5 linked regions of the Coturnix japonica genome follow. The protein of the gene in region 5 interacts with the protein of the main gene of each other region in a pairwise test. Links are inferred from orthologs where the notes say so. Each region holds a gene or a part of one and is shown on either strand. Other genes may lie near its edges. The genes, in order: GSE1, TSFM, REPS1, CEP57 and RALBP1.

What was found.
Region 1: the proteins of RALBP1 (region 5) and GSE1 interact in binary tests that used the Homo sapiens proteins (3 or more experiments, as listed by UniProt). The link is inferred for Coturnix japonica from reciprocal best matches to the Homo sapiens genes RALBP1 and GSE1.
Region 2: the proteins of RALBP1 (region 5) and TSFM interact in binary tests that used the Homo sapiens proteins (3 or more experiments, as listed by UniProt). The two-hybrid records come from large-scale screens. The link is inferred for Coturnix japonica from reciprocal best matches to the Homo sapiens genes RALBP1 and TSFM.
Region 3: the proteins of RALBP1 (region 5) and REPS1 interact in binary tests that used the Homo sapiens proteins (3 or more experiments, as listed by UniProt). The link is inferred for Coturnix japonica from reciprocal best matches to the Homo sapiens genes RALBP1 and REPS1.
Region 4: the proteins of RALBP1 (region 5) and CEP57 interact in binary tests that used the Homo sapiens proteins (3 or more experiments, as listed by UniProt). The two-hybrid records come from large-scale screens. The link is inferred for Coturnix japonica from reciprocal best matches to the Homo sapiens genes RALBP1 and CEP57.

What each region holds. Positions count from the first base shown.
Region 1 is NC_029526.1:15,698,909-15,702,075, forward strand, and holds the end of GSE1 (genetic suppressor element 1), read right to left. Parts: coding exon 3,116-3,167; intron 3,022-3,115; coding exon 2,899-3,021; intron 2,812-2,898; coding exon 2,461-2,811; intron 2,242-2,460; coding exon 1,975-2,241; intron 1,780-1,974; coding exon 1,676-1,779; intron 760-1,675; coding exon 625-759; 3' UTR 505-624; downstream 1-504.
Region 2 is NC_029544.1:1,424,716-1,428,734, reverse strand, and holds TSFM (elongation factor Ts, mitochondrial), read left to right. Parts: upstream 1-1,506; 5' UTR 1,507-1,532; coding exon 1,533-1,586; intron 1,587-1,761; coding exon 1,762-1,914; intron 1,915-2,028; coding exon 2,029-2,157; intron 2,158-2,468; coding exon 2,469-2,588; intron 2,589-2,752; coding exon 2,753-2,837; intron 2,838-2,920; coding exon 2,921-3,351; 3' UTR 3,352-3,517; downstream 3,518-4,019. Other genes in the region: EEF1AKMT3 (EEF1A lysine methyltransferase 3), read left to right, coding at 1-74, 214-326, 534-973. UniProt on the Homo sapiens protein: Associates with the EF-Tu.GDP complex and induces the exchange of GDP to GTP. It remains bound to the aminoacyl-tRNA.EF-Tu.GTP complex up to the GTP hydrolysis stage on the ribosome.
Region 3 is NC_029518.1:48,937,383-48,941,375, reverse strand, and holds the start of REPS1 (ralBP1-associated Eps domain-containing protein 1), read right to left. Parts: upstream 2,805-3,993; 5' UTR 2,722-2,804; coding exon 2,569-2,721; intron 1-2,568. UniProt on the Homo sapiens protein: May coordinate the cellular actions of activated EGF receptors and Ral-GTPases.
Region 4 is NC_029516.1:165,697,374-165,700,888, reverse strand, and holds part of CEP57 (centrosomal protein of 57 kDa), read left to right. Parts: intron 1-787; coding exon 788-865; intron 866-1,766; coding exon 1,767-1,871; intron 1,872-2,018; coding exon 2,019-2,099; intron 2,100-2,406; coding exon 2,407-2,651; intron 2,652-3,304; coding exon 3,305-3,449; intron 3,450-3,515. UniProt on the Homo sapiens protein: Centrosomal protein which may be required for microtubule attachment to centrosomes. May act by forming ring-like structures around microtubules. Mediates nuclear translocation and mitogenic activity of the internalized growth factor FGF2, but that of FGF1.
Region 5 is NC_029517.1:88,793,200-88,796,714, forward strand, and holds part of RALBP1 (ralA-binding protein 1), read right to left. Parts: intron 1,717-3,515; coding exon 1,367-1,716; intron 1-1,366. UniProt on the Homo sapiens protein: Multifunctional protein that functions as a downstream effector of RALA and RALB. As a GTPase-activating protein/GAP can inactivate CDC42 and RAC1 by stimulating their GTPase activity.

The sequences.
Region 1 (3,167 bases), on a different chromosome or scaffold from region 5:
ACCCTCCCCACCCCTTCTCCCCCCTCTGTGCCCCCCAGGAACGAAGCGCTGCTCCAAGGGGTTCATGGACTTTATTGGTTATAGCCGAGTGCGGTGCTGGGGGAGCCCAAAGCTGGGGGGGGGTGGGGGGGTGATGGGAAGTGGGGGGTGGGATGAGAAGGAAGGGGTGCCCCCCTCCCCCTGCAGGGCTCCTCCAGCCTTAGTGTTGTGGGCGGTGGAGTCTTTCATCAGGACTTAGAAAACAAGAAATGAGCGATATAAAGTGTGTGTGTGTGTTGGGGGGGGTGGGGAGGGGGGCAGAAGGGTGGGGGGAGGACACAAGGTCAGAGCCCCCCCCTTCCCCTCCTTCCTCCCCCCCCCCTTCCTGCCGCCCTTTGCTTCATGCATGGCACATTCTCTGTTTCGTTTTCTTTTTTATTATTATTATTATTTATTATTATTATTATTATTCTTTTTTTTTTTCCTTCTATTTTTTTTTTCTTCTTCTTCGTTTTTTTTTCTTTTTTTTTTTTTTTTTTCTTTTTTAGCTTCAAACCTCCCCAGTGAAAAATATTAAATATTCAAGGTAATAAAATAGATTATTATTATTTCTAGACTATTATGTTCGGCCCGGCCCAAGGAGCGTCACCTGGGATACCCCTTGAAATAACCCCTAGACCACTGCATTGCAGGCAAGGCAAGGCACTTCCGCAGGTGATCCAGCTCCGCTTGCAGTCGCTCTCGTTCTGAGACGATCTTTTGCTTCTGGGTCCTTAATTCCTGTAGGGAGGAAAGAAAAGGGAACACGGTCAGGGAGGTGCAGGGGGTGGGATGGACATAGATGGGATGAACATAGAGGGGAATGGGGAACTGCAGGAGGATGGGGACCTTAGGGGAACATTAGGGGAGGAGGGGACATTAGGGGAGGATGGGGATGTTAAGGGAGGATGGGGACCTTAAGGGAGGATGGGGACCTAAAAGAGGATGGGAACATTAGGGGAGGATGGGGACATTTGGGGACGTTAGGGGAGGATGGGGACATTAGGGGAGGATGGGAACCTTAAGGGATGATGGGGATATTAGGGGACAATGAGGACCTTAAGGGGAGGATGGGGATGTTAGGGAAAGATGGGGACATTAGGGGAGGATGGGGACCTTAAGGAAGGATGGGGACCTTAAGGAGGATCGGGACATTAGGGGAGGATGGGGACATTTGGGGACGTTAGGGGAGGATGGGGATGTTAGGGGAGAATGAGGACCTTAGGGGAGGATGGGGACATTGCAGAAGGCTGGGGATAATGGGGAGACTGCATGAGGACTGGGACCATTGGAGGAGAATAGGGGGGATTGAAGGGGGATGGGGACACTGCAGGCGTATGGGGCCGTTGCAGGAGGATCAGGCACTACAGAGGATGGGGGTGTTTGTAGGACAATGGGGACAGTGCAAGAGAATGGGAAGGTTGCAGGGGATGGGGGCAGTGAGTGAAGATTTGGGGGTGCTGCAGGAGGATGGGGGAGACTGAAAAGAATGGGGAGCTGCAGGAGGGAGGATTTGGGGTTAATGCAAGAGGATGGGGGTATTGCAGGAGGATGGGGACCTTAGAGGACAATGGGGACCCTGCAGAAGGATGGGTGCCTCTCTGGGAGGCCAGGGTGCCATACGGAGTCCAGGTGCCCCCCCAGAAGCCCCACTCACCGCCATGCTGTGCGAAAGCTGCTCTGCTGTCAGGCTCAGGCTGTAGTGCTGGGCCTCCAGCCGCCGGCACTGTGTCTGCAGCACTTGGCGCTCCAGGTTTTGTTCTGCAATGCACAGGGATGGGGTGAGCATCTGAAAGCCATCACTCCCTGCCAGCCCCAGGACAAAACCTCCTCCCTTTGCCAGCAGGGTGGGAAAGGTCTGGCTGTCAAAGCCTGGGGGCAGCAGGGCATGACGTGATGCTTGGTGACATGGCCCTGTGGCTAACACCCCACCAAGCCCCATTCCCCAGTCCTTACCTTCTATATGTTCTTGGTAAGCTTCAAAAATTGCCTCGATCCCTTGCCACTTGGGCCTGGGGCACTCCTCTTCATCTTCCTCCTCATCTTCCTCCTCCTCATCCTCAGAGGCCGAGTCACGGCGGTCCCGTGGCAGCGGTGGGGCGAGTGCCCTGTGCCCTTCAGCCGTGCCATTATGTGGGGCAGGAGGGCGGCTGGAGGCCTGAAGCTCAGGGATGTTGTAGTGGATGGAGGCGTCCAGTTTGTGGTTCTGCTCCGCCGTCCCCCCTGCAGGCACAGAGTGTCAGCCCCCCTTCCCTGCTGACTTTTCTCAGCCCCACAAATGAGTTTTGCTGCCTGTGCTGTGTTTTCCCAGCACATTTTTGCCTCTCCATCATCCTTCCCAGGGATTCCCTGGGACTGGGGTTAACAAATGCCTTTTCCCACAGTGCCAACCCACAGATTTCCTCCCTATATCCCCATGGGGTCCCTGCCCCGGCTCGGTACCTTTGTGCTTTTGCAACGCCTTCTGTGTGGACTGCAGCACGGACTCGTGGAACTGGTGGGCAAACTCCTCAGCAATGAAGGGCTCCCAAGGTTTGCTTTTGCCATTCATGCTGTGGGACAGCGGCACAGGGATGTCCTTGGGCAGAGGGCCCCTGACGTAGCTGAGGATGCTCAGTGCCTTCTTCCCCGTGTGCCCATCGCTCAACCGGGGCTTCTCAGCTGGTTCCTTCACCCTGGGCAGCTCTGCAGCTCTCAGAGGCTCCACTCTGCCCGGCTCCGATGGCTTCTGCACCTCAGGCACGGAGGTGACAATACCCACAGGCTTATCGGGGTCCAGCAGCAGCGGTGGCTCTTGGGGTAGATAAGGAGAAGTGTTGGCACAGTGGTGCCCAATTGGGCACAGGAGGTGAATAGGGAAAGTGGAATGGAGGAGCTTACCAGCATTGGGGCCAATGGGGCTGTCCTGCGGAGAGCTCTTCACCACCACAGCAGCCGGCGTGGGCTTCTGCTTCATGGCCTGCAGCATCTCCACCAGCTTCTCCTTGTCTGCCGCATGGGAAGCTGAGGTTTAGTGTAGCCTCTGCTCAGCCGGGCACCAGGCAGCCCCGCGGCACGGGGACGGGGACCCCCACCCCAGCACGGGGCATGGCGTTACCTTTCCTCTTTTCGGCGCTGATGTGCGTGAGGTTGAAGATGGTGAGGAAGCG
Region 2 (4,019 bases), on a different chromosome or scaffold from region 5:
TTCTGCGGCCGCGTCCTCCGCATCGCGCAGCACCACGGGCCGCGGCTCGGGATGGCGGCGGCTGTTTGGGACGGGGTGAGAGAAACGGGGGGAACCGGGACGGGGGGGGGGCTGAGGGTCCCCAAATACCCCCATCACTGTGACCCCCCCACACACACACACTGTGCCCCCCCCCCTATCACTGTGCCCCCCCCCATCACTGTGCCCCCCCCCGGCGCTGTGTCTGTGCCGCTTCTTCGAGGAGCAGCGCATGGATTTCAGCGGCCGAACCGTCATCGAGCTGGGAGCCGGGACCGGCATCGTGGGGATCCTGGCTGCGATGCTGGGTGAGAACATGGGGGGGGGGGGGCACGACCCCCAACGTGGGACCCCGACAAAGAGTCTGTGGGGCTGTGAATGGGGGCGGCATGGGGGGGGTTTGGGGTGGGGAGAGCTGAGCTGCCTTCCCCCCTTTCCCTCTTCCCTTTCCCTCTCCCCTCCTTCCCTTTCCCTCTCCCCTTTCCTCCCCCCTTTCCCTCCCCTCTCCCCCATAGGAGGTGATGTGACGCTCACCGACCTCCCCCTGGCCCTGGAGCAGCTCCGTACCAACACGGAGCTGAACGCAGCAGCGGTGGCAGCGTCTCGGGGCCGTGTCCGTGTCCAGGCGCTGCCGTGGGGCCGGGCGCTGGGCTCCATCCCGCACAGTTACGACGTGGTGTTGGGGGCCGATGTGGTTTATGACCCGCGTTGTTTCCCAGCGCTGCTGGACACGCTGCTGCAGCTCTGTGGGCCTCGGTCCGTCGCCTTCCTGAGCTGCGGGATGCGGCCGCAATTGGGCACCGCCGGGTTCTTCTGGGAGCTGCTGCCGGTGCATTTCTGTGTGCGGCTGCTGCGGCATCACAAGGACAGTGACGTGGGGCTGTACAGGGTGACACGGCGCAGGGACAGCAACGGCTGCAGCCCCATAGAACAGCACGGGGAGCAGGAGACCTGAGTGAGTGATGGGACACTGTGATGGCACCAGGGGCAGCACCAACATCATCAGCACCATCATAGACACCATCATAGGCACCAACATCAGCACCAATATCAGCACCAACAGCAGAACCAATATCAGCACCAGTATCAGCACCAACAGCAGCACCAGCACCGTCCCGTCCTGCAGTGATGGTGGATGATGGTGGATGATGGTGGATGATGGTGGGTGATGCTGGTGCTGGGGTGGGTTTATGGGCCTCATTGAAGTTAATGGGGCCGTGGGCTGGATTGAAGGCTGCTGAGGGCTCCCAGATCTATTCCATGTGCCCCAAACCCGCCCCATCTTGGGGCAGCGGGGCCGTTTTCTCGCCCTTTCTTTTGAATAAAGGGAATTTTGGTGTTTTTTAACCCGAATCTCGTGTTTTTGGGGCGCTTTAAGCTCCTCTAAAGGTCGCACTGCTCAAGCGCTGTACCGAAATGTCCATAGTCGGCATCCGTAGCGAGTGACGTCATTTGTTCGCGCCGCGTTGTGACGTCATAGCCTCGCGCCGCCTGCGGGCGTGAGAGAAGCGGGGATGCAGCGCGCGGTGTGGGTGAGCGGAACCGGGAGGGAGCGGGGACATCACGGGGTATAACGGGGTATAACGGGGCACAATGGGGCATAACGAGGCATAACGGGGCTTAATGGGGCCTGATGGGGTATAACGGGGCTCAGTGGGGCCTAACGGGGCCTAGTGAGGCCTAGTGTGGCCTGCTGGGCCCTACCCGTTCTTCCCGTTGCTCCCGTTCTCTCTCCCCCCTCAGGCCGGTTTCCGTTCCGCCGTTCGCTGTTTCTCCGCCGCCCGCCCGGCGCTACGGGCGGATAAAGACGCGCTGCTGCGGCTGCGGAAAAGCACCGGGCTGCCGTTCGGAGCGTGCGCGGAGGCGCTGCGGGACAGCGGGGGGGATGAACGGCAGGTACCGGAGAACGGGGGGACCCGGGGCGGGGCTCATCACCCCCAGCTGTTCCCGTTCACCCCCGTCTGTTCCCGTTCACCCCCGTCTGTTCCCGTTCTGTCCCGTTGTCCCCAGGCCGAGGCGCTGCTCCTGGTCCGGGCGCGGCGGGACGGGCGGCACCGGGCGGAGCAACTGCGGGAACGGGCGGCAAAGGACGGACTGATGGGAACCGTGGTACGGGGGAACTGCGGAGTCATGGTGGAGGTACGGCCGGGGGGGGATGGGGGTATATGGTTATATGGGGGGTTATATGGGGGTATATGATTCTATGGGGGGTTATATGGGGGTATATGGGGGTTATATGGTTCTATGGGGGGTGACATGGGGGGTACATGGTTCTATGGGGGGTTACATGGGGGATATATGGTTCTATGGGGGGTATATGGTTCTATGGGGGAGATGGGGTTCTATGGGGGGTATATGGGGGTATATGGTTCTATGGGGGTATGTGGTTCTGTGGGGGGTCATGGAGCTGTCACTGTGCTCATCCTGATCCCCCCCTTCTCCCCCCCCAGGTGAACTGTGAGACCGACTTTGTGGCCCGTAACGCCGCCTTCCAGCAGTTGGTTCGTGACGCCGCGTTGGGCGCCATGAGCAGCTGCCACAGCCCCGACCCCCCCACGGGATGCGTCAAGGTGGGACGAGCTCAGGGCATCACCACCCCATAGGGACCGGGGGGTTATGGGGGCTGTGGGGGTTATGGGGGCTGTGGGGGCTGTGGGGGTTATGGGGGCTGTGGGGGCTGTGAGTTGAGCCGCTCGGTCCCATCTGCCCCCCCGCCCCCTTTGTGTCCCCCCAGCGCTTCCTGAGCCCCGTGGAGCTCTCCCAGCTGCGGACGGAGCCGGGGGGGGCTCAGCTCAGTGAGCGCCTGGAGCTCACCATTGGTAAGGAGGCGTTTAATTTGTGTCCCCCCCCCGACCCCCTCATTGTCCCCCCCGTGTCCCCACGTCCCCTCATTCCCCCCCAGGCTCCATGGGTGAGAAGATGACCCTTCGCCGTGCCGCGTTCCTGGCTGTCCCCCCCGACTGCTTCATCGCCTCCTACACCCACGGCCCCCCCCCCGGGGAGCCCCCCCCGTCGCACTCGGTGCCAGCTCTGGGTCGCTATGGGGCGCTGGTCGCCTGCAGGGTGACGGAGCCGGGGGTCAGCCCCGATCCCGCTGCCGTGGGCAGGAAGGTGGCGCAGCACGTGGTGGGGATGGCGCCCACCAGCGTGGGAGACCCCGGGGATGGGGCGGGGGGGAGGAAGGAGGAGGAGGAGGAGGAGGAGGAGACGCGGCTGTTGGCACAGAGCTTCGTGCTGCAGCCCGCTGTGACAGTCGCCGAGTTCCTGCGGGCCCACGGGGTGACGGTGCTGGATTTTGTGCGGTTCCAGTGCGGGGAGGAGGAGCGGGACTGAGGGGGGGGGTCTGTGGGGCTGAGGGGGGGTTGGAGCTGTGGGGATGGATGGGGCAGAGCTGTGGGGATGAGAGGGGCAGAGCTGTGGGGCTGCCTTGTGCCCTGGGCTGAGCAGCGGATCCCTTTGTGGCTGCTCCCCCCCAATACAGCCTGCATTCACCCATCACTTTCTGCTCCGTTCTTTAATGCCATTTCTGCTCCCCACCCCCGGTTACAAACGCCCCTTGCTATGGGGCAGTGGGGGGGGGGCTTAGAGCCCCTCAGTGCGGCCTTTGGGGGGGTTTGTTGTTGGGTCCTCCCTGTGCTGCTGGGTGATGCCACTGGGGGGAGGGGGGGGACACATTTGGGGACCTCAGTGCCTATGGATGGGGCGGGGGCAGCAACGGGACAGAAGATAATGAGCATTAATGAGCGCAGTGCTGTAATTAGAGGAATGGAACGACTGTGTGGGTTGGGGATGGGGGGACACAGTGGGGATGTGATGGGGACACAGTGAGGGGGTATTGGGGACACGGGGGGTCACAAAGGGGGCAGGTCATCCCTGAGTGATTCTGGTCCCATTTGGGTCCCATTTTGGTGCTACTTTTGTGCTGTTCCAACCTCAGTGCTGATGTGGTGCCATCCCAGCTCCATCCCAGCTCCATCCCTGTGTTATTCTGGTCCCATTTG
Region 3 (3,993 bases), on a different chromosome or scaffold from region 5:
AAATACTAACTGCTGTGAAGTAGTGCTATTCTCACTGTGGCAGTGCTAAGGCTGCCCCTTTTTAGGTATATACTATGTATCATGTGCAGCTTTTCATTCAGAGTTTTTGTTGCCTTGTGAGAGTATGATTTATATACATTAACTGCAACTGTTTCAGTCTTCTGTGCCTTCATTCCTTCTCCTTTACCAGGCAGCTGAGGGAACCCTTACAGCCGGCAAGGAAATTGATTAAGAGCAGTTACTAACTTTTCATGCTGTAAGACATATAAAATAAACATAACCCTTTGCAGGAAAAATTGCTTGTACATTCACCCCCAAAGAACAGACTTGGAAACAAAACAAGTTACGGGCCCAGAAATGCAATTAAGTCACACATGTTCATTTTCAACAGAGTCAATCCCGAGGTTATTTACAGACCCACAGGACTGAAGAGCGAAACCTCAGGTAGCTCCTCAGGACAACCTGGTGCCTGTGAATTTGAAGAGCAGCAATTTTGCACTGTTTTGCATTTCACACGACTACTACCACAACTGCATTCCAGGATTATATAAGGTTTGAGAAACTGAATTGAGTTCCTTTCCGTCACAGACATCAGGTGCTTCAAATGAACAGGTAAGGGCACAGTACTGTATGGTTAAAGGAAAATCCCACATCCAATCACACTGTCTCATTATTTCATGAGCTCTATCATTTGGAGGTTTTAGTTTTACATTCTTAGCTTCTAAGCAGCAAATACAATTTCCTTTGGAAATACAATGTTTCGGTGCAGGTATCAAGCAGAGGCATATTTTGCTGAGACCAAGAGCTACGCAACTAGAGTCTGTCCTTAAATACAAGGTACTTCACAGGTGACCCACAGCGATTGCACAAGCCATCCGAAGTGAGTCACACTGCTAAGGGCATCTTGACTTTCTTTGTATTATTTACAGTTTCATACCTCATGCAATCTAACATCTCCTTTGCCATTTGAACTGCAAGGTTTTTCTTGCGATCTCCACCGAGATAAGCTTGGTCTGCTCCTTAAGTTTGCTTATTTAGAAACCATGGAATGATGAATGAGTAGTTTATTGTTCCTTCAGTTGTGCTCTACTTTGCCAGAAAATACTTCACCTACTCTGCAACAGATAAGGACATAATCTGTGGCCACTTGCATTCAAAATTCCAAGTCTCTCCAAGTTCTTGTACCCAGTGCTCACACAAAGCAAACTCTAGTACTAGTCCGGATCCCTGTGTAGATAAAACAGGCAAGTTTTATGGAAAAAGAGATTTTTAAATGGAACAAACTTGTAAACACTCACTTTCCCGGGATGATTCTTCTGAAACGTGCTGGCCACATGCAAAAAGCAGCAGTGGGTGGCCTTGAGAAAGCTCATTCACAAAACACCAAGCACACAGACTCTAACCATTCAGTCCTGTCTGACAAGTCATCAAATAAAAGATTACTAGTTTTACCAGTAAGAAGTTTTCCTTATTCAGCCCTCTCCTCCTTTATTTCTATTTAAAAACAACCACTGCACACAATCACCTTTCCCACTGAGCTGGAGCACATGATTCAAGGCATCTGAAGTCCTTTTAACTAACCCACTTGCACTTACCAGCCCAGAACAAATCAGTAATCCTCGTTAAGCATAAGTATTCTCCTGGAATCTGGTAATAAAGTGCTGAACGCTGACATTTGTGTACTATATTTCTGGCTACAGTAACTGTTGCTTTGTTAGAAGGGGCCTCTCATCTAGCCAAGAAGAGGATGTAAGTGCAGAGAAGATACGAACGGCTTTTACCAAACAGTTCTACCAAAAGCGTTCTTTCCAGGTAGCTCAAAAAGCTACATAAGTATGGAACTGGGAACTCCAAAAGCAGGAAACTGCTACAAACAGGTGTTGGTGAGAATGATTCACTGGGAATACTTTCCTCAAGCGATCGCAAGAGGCACATCGGAGCTGATTCTGCTACAGCAGTAGCTCCGTCCTACTACTACCAGCTTTTAGATGTTATCTGCTCATGGAAGCAGTGTGAAAAATCTTATATACATTGTGAGTATGGAGCTACATCGTTCTTAACACTGCATTTTCCAGCGTTAGAAATATTTTGTTAACTACAGTCAGTATCTGCCACGAGCCCTCATAAAACCGTGTGATTTGGGATGAAACAAGACTAGATTCACTAACACCCAACGGCAGAAACCCATACTCCCTCCATCCACACGCTGCAGGACGGCCCCTTCCCACACAGCAAAGCACTCCAGGGTTCTCTGGACGGCCTCAAACACAGCAACACCCCACTAGTCGCTGTACCGGAGGTTACCAGCAGCCCCATCCCGCCCCACAGGCCCCACGCACCCAACAGCGGTGCCCTACGCGAGGGCACACGCCACAGCCTCTCCGTTCCACCTCCCCGGGCTCAGGTGGTCGCCGCCGGCCCGGACAAAAGCTCCGCTCCCCGCGTGGGCTGCGGCCGGGCCGGGCGAGGCGGCGGCGGGGAGGAGCGGCAGCGCGGAGCGAGGCCGTCTCCCCACCGCGGGTATGAGGCGCGGGGCGGTGCCCGGGCTGGGGTCCGGCACGGCTATACCTGCATCACCACGTCGTTGGGCAGCTGCGCGGCGCGGAAGAGCTCCAAGACGCGCCCGTTGGACGCCACCTTCTTGGTGCTCTCGGTGTCGCAGTAGGAGAAGAGGTCGCAGTAGTAGCGCTGCTCCGCCTCGCTCAGCGTCAGGCCCTCCATCTTACGCCCCGGTTCCGCGCGGCGCTGCCGCCGTCCCGCATCCAGCGGCGGCGGCGGAAGCGACGGCCCCGGAGCGGGAGGGGGCGGCACGAGGCCCGGATGTGGGGGCCGCCGGTAGCGCCACCTTCCGTCTGGAGGTGGAGCTCCAGAAATAATGACTGAGTGTTGAGTGAGCAAATGTGAGAAGTTAACCAATAAGCAATATATTCGCTGGAACAGGCTGCCCAGGGATGGTGGTGGGTTTGCCTCCTTCTCTGGAGATTATTCCAAGACCTGCCTGGACGCCTACCTGTGTGATGTGGTGTAGGAGCTCGCTTTTGGCGGGGGTTGCGACTCGCATGATCTCTAGAGGTCCTTCAACCCCTACAATTCTGTGATTCTGTGATTCTGTGATATGCTTGGGCTACCAGAAAATTTCAGGTCCAGAGGAGGGCCACCAAAGGATGATCAGGGGGGCTGGAGCACCTCCCCTATGAGGACGGTGCTGAGGGAGTTGGGTTATGTTCAGCCTAGAGAAGAGAAGTGTTGCAGGGTGACCTCATTGCAGCCTTTTCAGTACCTGAAGGGAACTTACTCCCAGGAAGGAAGTAAAACTCTTTGAAAGGGCTGACAATAGCAGGACCACGGGGAAATGTTTTAAGTTGAAGAGGGAAGATTTAGGTTGGATGTTAGGGGGAAGTTCTTCACTAGGAGAAGTGGTTAGGCCCTGGAACATGGCTGCCCAGGAGGTTGTGGATTCCCCTCCTGGAGGTGTTCAAGACCAGGTTGGACGGGGCCCTGGGCAACCTGATCTAGTAAATGTGTATGTTTGGTGGCCCTGCCAGGCAGGGGGGTTGGAACTACATGATCCTTGAGGTCCCTTCAAACCCGGGTCATTCTGTGATTCTGTGAAATTTAATTTTATCCAGTACCTGTATGTACTGGATATAAACCTGGGACGATTGTGAACCTGAAATACTCAGCCAAAGAGGAACCAGGGGAGAAAAAGATAAGTAATGACATAAAAGCTGTAATGCTGTTTTCTGCTCATGCTCCTGCTTGCAGGATGCTCACCATTGCGATAATGAATAAAATCTGCTTTATAACAGATACTGTCCTGATAAATTATTTAGATATCTACAATATGGGGAGCCTGTTCCAGCTCACTGCCCTCTGGCGAAGAACCACAGTTGGATGAGTTTGCTCACCCCTTCACCCAGATCTCCTGTTCTGCCAGTCTTTCATTTATGCTTTTCCATGATGCCAGGTGTTCACTAGGTCAGCATGGTCTTG
Region 4 (3,515 bases), on a different chromosome or scaffold from region 5:
CCTTTCCATTTCAGGTTGTTTGAGACTTAGTTCAGTGCTTACCTCTTGGTGATAGCTGAGGATTCTACGTTACCTGTGGGATATAACCATTCTGAGAGCTGAGCTTGGAAGGGGGATTTTGGAATACTATTTGATTGCAGGAAAGGAGAAAAATGCTTTGGGAATATCACTGAATTTCCACAGTGTTTCTGTCACTGAAGATGTAGTGAGACACGTTCTTGCTGCACAACTTGAGCTATACCCTCCAGCTAAAACAACTGACTGAGTGAATGCTTGGTCTATTTTTGTGCCAAAGCATTGGTTTGGCTTCCTGTCAGTCTTCAGCTCAAACAAAAGGTTTGCTTCTGCATTCGCATATTAAAGCTGTCATATGCAGCAGGTTAAACAGCAAACTTTGCCCATGTGGGAGTCAAGAACTGACACGCTGTCATGGGTGGACGATGTTAAGTTGCCTTTCCATTCTAATCTTCATTAAGTGACTGTATGGTCAAAAAAAATCCCTTATCTCAGAGTTCAGCCTCATAAATTACTCTTCCTGTAGGCTGCAACTTGAATTCAAATACCAATTCTGGAAGTAAAAGTGGAGAAATGATTTCTATTTAAAGCATAACCACTGCTCTGTTGCATTTATGCCTGTATAGGTGGCATTGCTTCAGTGATTTTTAGTTCTAAAGTCTTAACGTAGCAAGTTGAGCTGCTAAACTCCCGCTGAACCTCTCGGTATTGTGAGCTTCATAAAGAATTTGCTTTGCTAGTAATGCTTTTGTTTTCGTTCAACTTTGACTAGAAAAAAATGAAAGAGCTGGAACAGAAACTTCAGGAGGAAGAGCACGCGAGGAAGCTTGTCCAGGAAAAAGCAGCTGAGGTAACAGCAGGAGAATTGTGTTGTACTGCTCTGCGCTGTAAGGAGCTCTTCTTGATTTATCAGATCTCGACTACGTTTGCTGGTTATGTCTTCTCCATACAGAATGCAGGTTGCACCTTCACCCTTAGGTGTCTTCACCCCATCCTCTCACCTGATGTTCTGAGTGCCTTGGAAACCTTTTTCTCACAGCATCTGTGCGCTTAAGCCTTAATTTTTTTTCAATAAGAGAAGCTGGTTGGAAAAGTAATTCAGACTAATTTGTAGCTGAGGATGAATGAAGATCTATGCTTTAAATAGATCAATTAGTTAAGAAGTGTGTTCCCTTTATAACTGTAACTAGGAACACTGCATAAGGAGGCAAAGAAAGAGGCTGTGAGTCTGTAAGGAAGGACAATGGCCTCCTGTGGTCATTATGTACTCATCAGTTGTGTGTTGAATAAGTATTTTGGTAACATGGTGGGCTCTGTGACCTCTCCAGTAAGCGATAAGCTCAAGTCAATCATAAATGTTTTGTGATTGCTTGAGAGATGATTTCTAATGCCATAATAAGAAGGAACAGCAGAGCGTATATGCCACAAAATCAATGGAGGAGGGCTGGTCACTTGAATTCCTTATTATTTTATAAAGTATAAAACACAGCATCTGTTTTGATGCCTGCCTGCATGGGAGTTATTCAGTACAGCTCATTCTTTAACTTACTGGGATTAGCCATGAGAAGTGTTGTTGAAGGAAATGTTCTTATCTGGTGTTTAGATTTAAGCTGCAGGAGCATCTGCACACTTGCAGCCCTTGCTTTCGGAGAGCTTGTGTTTTAAAAGATGCTCTGTTACCAATCTGAGCACCTCCTGTCTGATAATCCATTATATGATTTTAATCATTTCTCTCATTCCCTTCATTGCAGCTTCAGACAGGCCTGGAAACCAACAGACTGTTGATTCAAGCAGCATCACCACTGCTTTCTCCAAAAGCAAGAAAACCCAGGAAGAAAACTAAGCAGCCAGAGAAGGTAATGGGGAAGAGAAGGGTGGGTACTGAGAAGTGAAATCGTGTGCATGCAGTCAGAAAGTAGGCTGCCTCTTATCAGAAAGCTGAGGCACAGTGGGTTTGCTGTAGTGTCATCTTTGATAAACGTTTCTCTCTTCTTTCCTTTCAGAAATGCTCTCTTACAAGCCATCTCACTACGCAGCCCCATTACAGACTGTGTCTGGGTGATGTACCCTTTGTAGCTGGGAAGGTGAGCTGCTGAATTCCAAGGCTTAATGCTCAGTAGCTGCAGCTCCTTAAATGGCTTTGGCACGGTGCACTCCTGACACCCAGTGGTCAGATCTTGTTTTCCTTGGCTCTTTTATCTTCAAAAAGCTTGTTAATCTGGTGTTTTCTAACACGGGTCTTTTGTGCTGCTTGCTGGTCAGGCTCTTCCTGTTATGTATATCCACTCAAAGAAAAAAAAATGTTGGTAGCAAATAAATTCTCATTTACGTTTTTCAGTAAGATGAGTAGGTTGATGACAATGTCACTTAAAAGAGGTATTTTCCTTCTAGTCTACCAGTCCCAGCCATTCAGTTGGTGCCAATGTACAACACGTCCTACACCTCATGAAACATCACACAAAAGCTTTGTGCAACAGTCGCGTGGTGAATGATGCTCCTCTAGCAAAGCCCATCAGTGCGGGTCATCCTGCCAGCAGAAGCAGAAAGGCACCTCTGTCCAATGACTGTTCTTCATCGCAGGAAGAGCTCTCAGAAGTTCTGCAGACTTTACAGGATGAGTTTGGGCAGATGAGTTTGTAAGTCTGATATATTTAATGCTGCAGACCACAGATGCACGTGCTTTATATTCTTCTTTTGAAGTCAGAAAGTTTTGCTGGGGGAAGCATTTATGTTGGGAAGTCTATGGCGTGTAATCTAGTTGTAGCTGCAGAGATTTTCATTTCTCATTGCAGTTACAGATTGAGTCTGGTAATCCGTTGGGACTCTGTATGTGTGTTTATGTGCAGCAGTGTTTATGTGCAGCAGTGTCGTGTTTTTGAGGGGTTGGGGGGAAGTGTGGTAACAGCCCCCAATGCAATGAACAAATATTCCATTGGAAGACAGCTTGACTAGCTCTCTTGCTCATCCTGGCTAACAGGCGATGAACTGTCTGCCAGCACAACAGCAGTAGAAGCAAATGTATAAAGTAGTACCTGAACAAGTGCTGAGTTCTTTTCCTTAAGGGGTCTTTCATTTAATTTTAAATGTGCATGTAGAAGTTGTTGGTTATGGACAACTTCACATTGCAGCAGCCTGCTGCCAGGATATGCAAACTCAATGAAGCTACTCACTACCATAAGTGTTCTTACTGGTTCACTATTGCATGCTGAATTTGTTAGGCTGCTACCATGGCTGTGTATGCCAGCACTGAGTCTATTGCAAGCTTTGATCTGCCTATATTTTATGTTAGTGATCACCAGCAGCTGTCTAAGCTTGTCCAGGAAGCTCCAACCGTTGCAGTAAGGGAAGATCTGGAGAGGGAACTGGAGGTGCTAGTGGGAAAGATGGAGGCAAAGGCAGACCAGATCAACAAAGTTCGAAGGCATTGGCTGCAGGTGAGTTACTTGCCTATGATCATACTTGTGCAAAGGTGCTCTTTATTTTTTTTACTGTATTGTTTA
Region 5 (3,515 bases):
TACAACCCCCTGCTATGGGCAGGGACACCTCCCTCTAAACCAGGTGGCTCAAGGCCACATCCAGCCTGGCCTTCAATGCTTCCAAGGAGGGGCATCCACAACCTCATGGGACAGCCTGTTCCAGTGTCTCACTATCCTCACAGCAAAGAATTTCTTCCTAATATCTAGTCTGAATCTACTCTCTTCCAGTTTAAAGCCATTTCCCCTCATCCTGTTACTACCTGCCCTTATAAAATGTCCCCTCCACAACTTTCCTGTAGGTCCCCTTCAGGTACTGGAAGGCCACTGTAAGGTCCCCCCAGAGCCTTCTTTTCTCCAGGCTGAAGAGCCCCAACTCTCTCAGCCTGTCCTCATAGGGGAAGTGCTCCAGCTCTCTGACCACCTCTTTCTTTTTGCTCATGCAAAGGTGGAAGTGGTAGCAATAGGTAAGCAGGAGCACCAAACATTCTGTGCTATGGATGGGCTGCCTTCTCTCTTCTCCCAAAACTTCAGTATTTTCACCAACTTCTCTCTCAGATTCAAAACAGTTTAAAAAAAAATGGCTTGAAAGGAGCTGTTATCGTATTCCTTGCTTTAAAATGAGACAGAAGCAAATATTTATTCAGATGCTATGTCTTCCATTAACATTTAAAAACGCATCCTGAAAGAAGGATTGGAATTCTGTATACCCAAGTCATAGAATCATAGAATTACCCAGGTTGGAAAAGACCTTGAAGATTATCAAGTCCAACTGCACCCTAACCATAGTACCCTAACTCTAACAACCCTCTGCTAAATCATATCCCTGAGCACCACATCCAAATGGCTCTTAAACACATCCAGGGATGGCGATTCAACCACCTTCCTGGGGAGCCTATTCCAGTACATAACTACCCCTTCTGTAAAGAAGTTCTTCCTAATATCCAACCTAAACTTGCCCTGGCACAACTTGAGGCCATAAGTCATCACTGCATCAGCAAGATCTGTTTGCAGTACAGGGTTCAGTGGCTTGATAGTAAAATTAAGCAACAGAATAGTCTTCACTGAGTCATCACTGCATCAGAAACACAGAAATCCTACATCCGCTTGAATTAGCAGATTAATTCAATGTTGAATTACTTGTGCTCACGGAATAAAAAAGCCCAGTAAGCAATCTTTGCACTGTTTTCATAACAGCAGATACAAGACTAATACTATGCAAGCTCACCTTCAGAAAGTCTTCCCCCTCCCTACTTTCTGTGCATTTTATGTTCTCAAAGTATAAAGAAGAGATTTAATTCAGCTTAATTGTATCAGACAGTGCCTGATTCACACATGCAAGAGAACTCCTATGAAGAAACCTTTCTTGTGCTGACACTCTGCTCTAGCACCTGTGTGAGGCACATACCTGGACAGTAGGGCTGAGCACTATAGAAATATTCTGGATGTTCATTTTTGTTTCCAGTTCCTTTGCGATAACGTGGTCCATATGCACAATGAGCCAAGAAATGAGGAGATGGTTACACTCCGGCAGCTCTTTCAGCAGCCTCTGGCACTCCTGGACTTTCTCAGCTTCTGTGCTCTTTCCACAAGCATCTTCAAAGCGGGGCATTAGCTCTTTGGTAAGCAAGTTTTCAGGCAGTTCACGTAGGTACTGCTTCAGCAAGCTGGCTACTGTATTGGGCTCATATTCTTCCAGGTTGGGAGATTCTTCTCGGTCATAGGCTGCTTTGAGCTCATCGACTTTTGACTTTATTCCTGAAAATATTTAAATAAAGAATTAAGATGATTTTTCAGCTCTACATATATAATAGTTGTAATACTCTTATTTATTTATTTCTTTGAGAAGCTCTTCTCCTTACAAATTAAACTAATTGAAGAATAGCTTTTAAAGATCATTCACATGTGACAAAACTGCAACTCAGGATTAACATGGTCACTGTATTTAAAAGCACTGACCTCAGAGCTTCTGCCTGACATCCAATCTAAGCCTTCACTCTTTGAGTTTAAAACCACTCCTCCTTGTCCTATCACTGTTCACCCTTGTAAAAAGATGATTCCCCTTGTTGTTTCTCTCCATTTAATTTCTCCCAAGTTGTTCCATAACAGCTCTCAACCAAACAGCAAGTATGTCCTTATCAACTCCAATACTGTGCAAGAAATTCTAAACGTGAGCCTTCCTCTGTGAAACCAAGCCCACACAGTTTAGTTTTCAGGTTTTCAGCTGGAGAAATCTCACACAGCATTTTGGTTTGAGGCAATGTATGAATAAACACGGGGAAGTTCTTCACTAGGAGAGTGGTTAGGCCCTGGAACAGGCTGCCCAGGGAGGTTGTGGATGCCCCGTCCTTGGAGGTGTTCAAGACCAGGTTGGACAGGGCTCTGGGCAACCTGATCTAGTAAATGTGTATGTTTGGTGGCCCTGCCAGGCAGGGGGGTTGGAACTACATGATCCTTGAGGTCTCTTCCAACCCGGGTCATTCTGTGATTCTGTGTGTGAAACAGGTGTTCATGTAATTATTCAGACTTGCCAGTATTTTTGCACAGTGTTTTTACAACTCAGTGACATTCAAATCTTCCTCAAGTCAGAAAAGTTTCTTTCTTAAAGCTCAAACACCCATTTGGCTTTCAGTGACTTACTGCACTGCCATATGTTGGCTCTGGTACAATAAACAAAGCTGGGTGCACCCAGCCCACGGTAAATGCCAGCTAAAATGTGCTCTATTTCATGTCCCAATAAGTTACTCATCACAAGTGCTGGTACAGTGCTAGGCCGTTGTCATTCAGAGCCCTCAATTTAAGTACTCTCGCACACACCAGAGGGTGCTATTGCACTGGAGAACACCTGGATGGTACAAACATCAAAAACACCTTATGGAAAACAAACCTCCCGTGAACATCCCAACTCAGCCTGCCCTGAAAATAATGTACTGCCAGAATGGTCTCACGGGTGAGACTAAGAAACTGCTGAGCATCCCTACCAAGTACCATGCAGACCATCAGCATAAGGACAGCTGAATGAAGACGTTAGCAATTGTTTGATCACTGCTCTGCAGCACTGCTAATAACTTGTTCCGAGTGCTTTCCCCCAAGTTCCTTTTCTCACTTGTTTCTGCTCCCTTGAACGTGCACACTGAAACACTTGCTTGGGTTTCACTGCAAAGAGTTCACAAAGGGATTGTTTTGTTTAACACAGCTACAAACCACGCTGCTTTATGTAAGCAGGTGTTACACAACTCCTGTGGTTAATTATCCTGCTGTGGCTAAGCTTAAATGCGAAACTTGCATTTTCTGCTTATTAGTGACTTTGCCCAAACAAAAGAAGCTTTTAAAGAAGAAAATTATACACAGTAAAAAGCAACAGTGAGAAGCTTAAGTCGTAAAATGGTTATTTCTCATCCTTGCTTTTCCCATCAACTAGAATAGCATTTCTCATGCAGAAGTAATACAAATAAAAAGAATACAAGCTTGCCAATGCAGCACATTTTATTCATACTTACCATCACCCCATCACAACAGGTCTAATTAGATATATTTTTACCTCCTTTAAGCAGTAC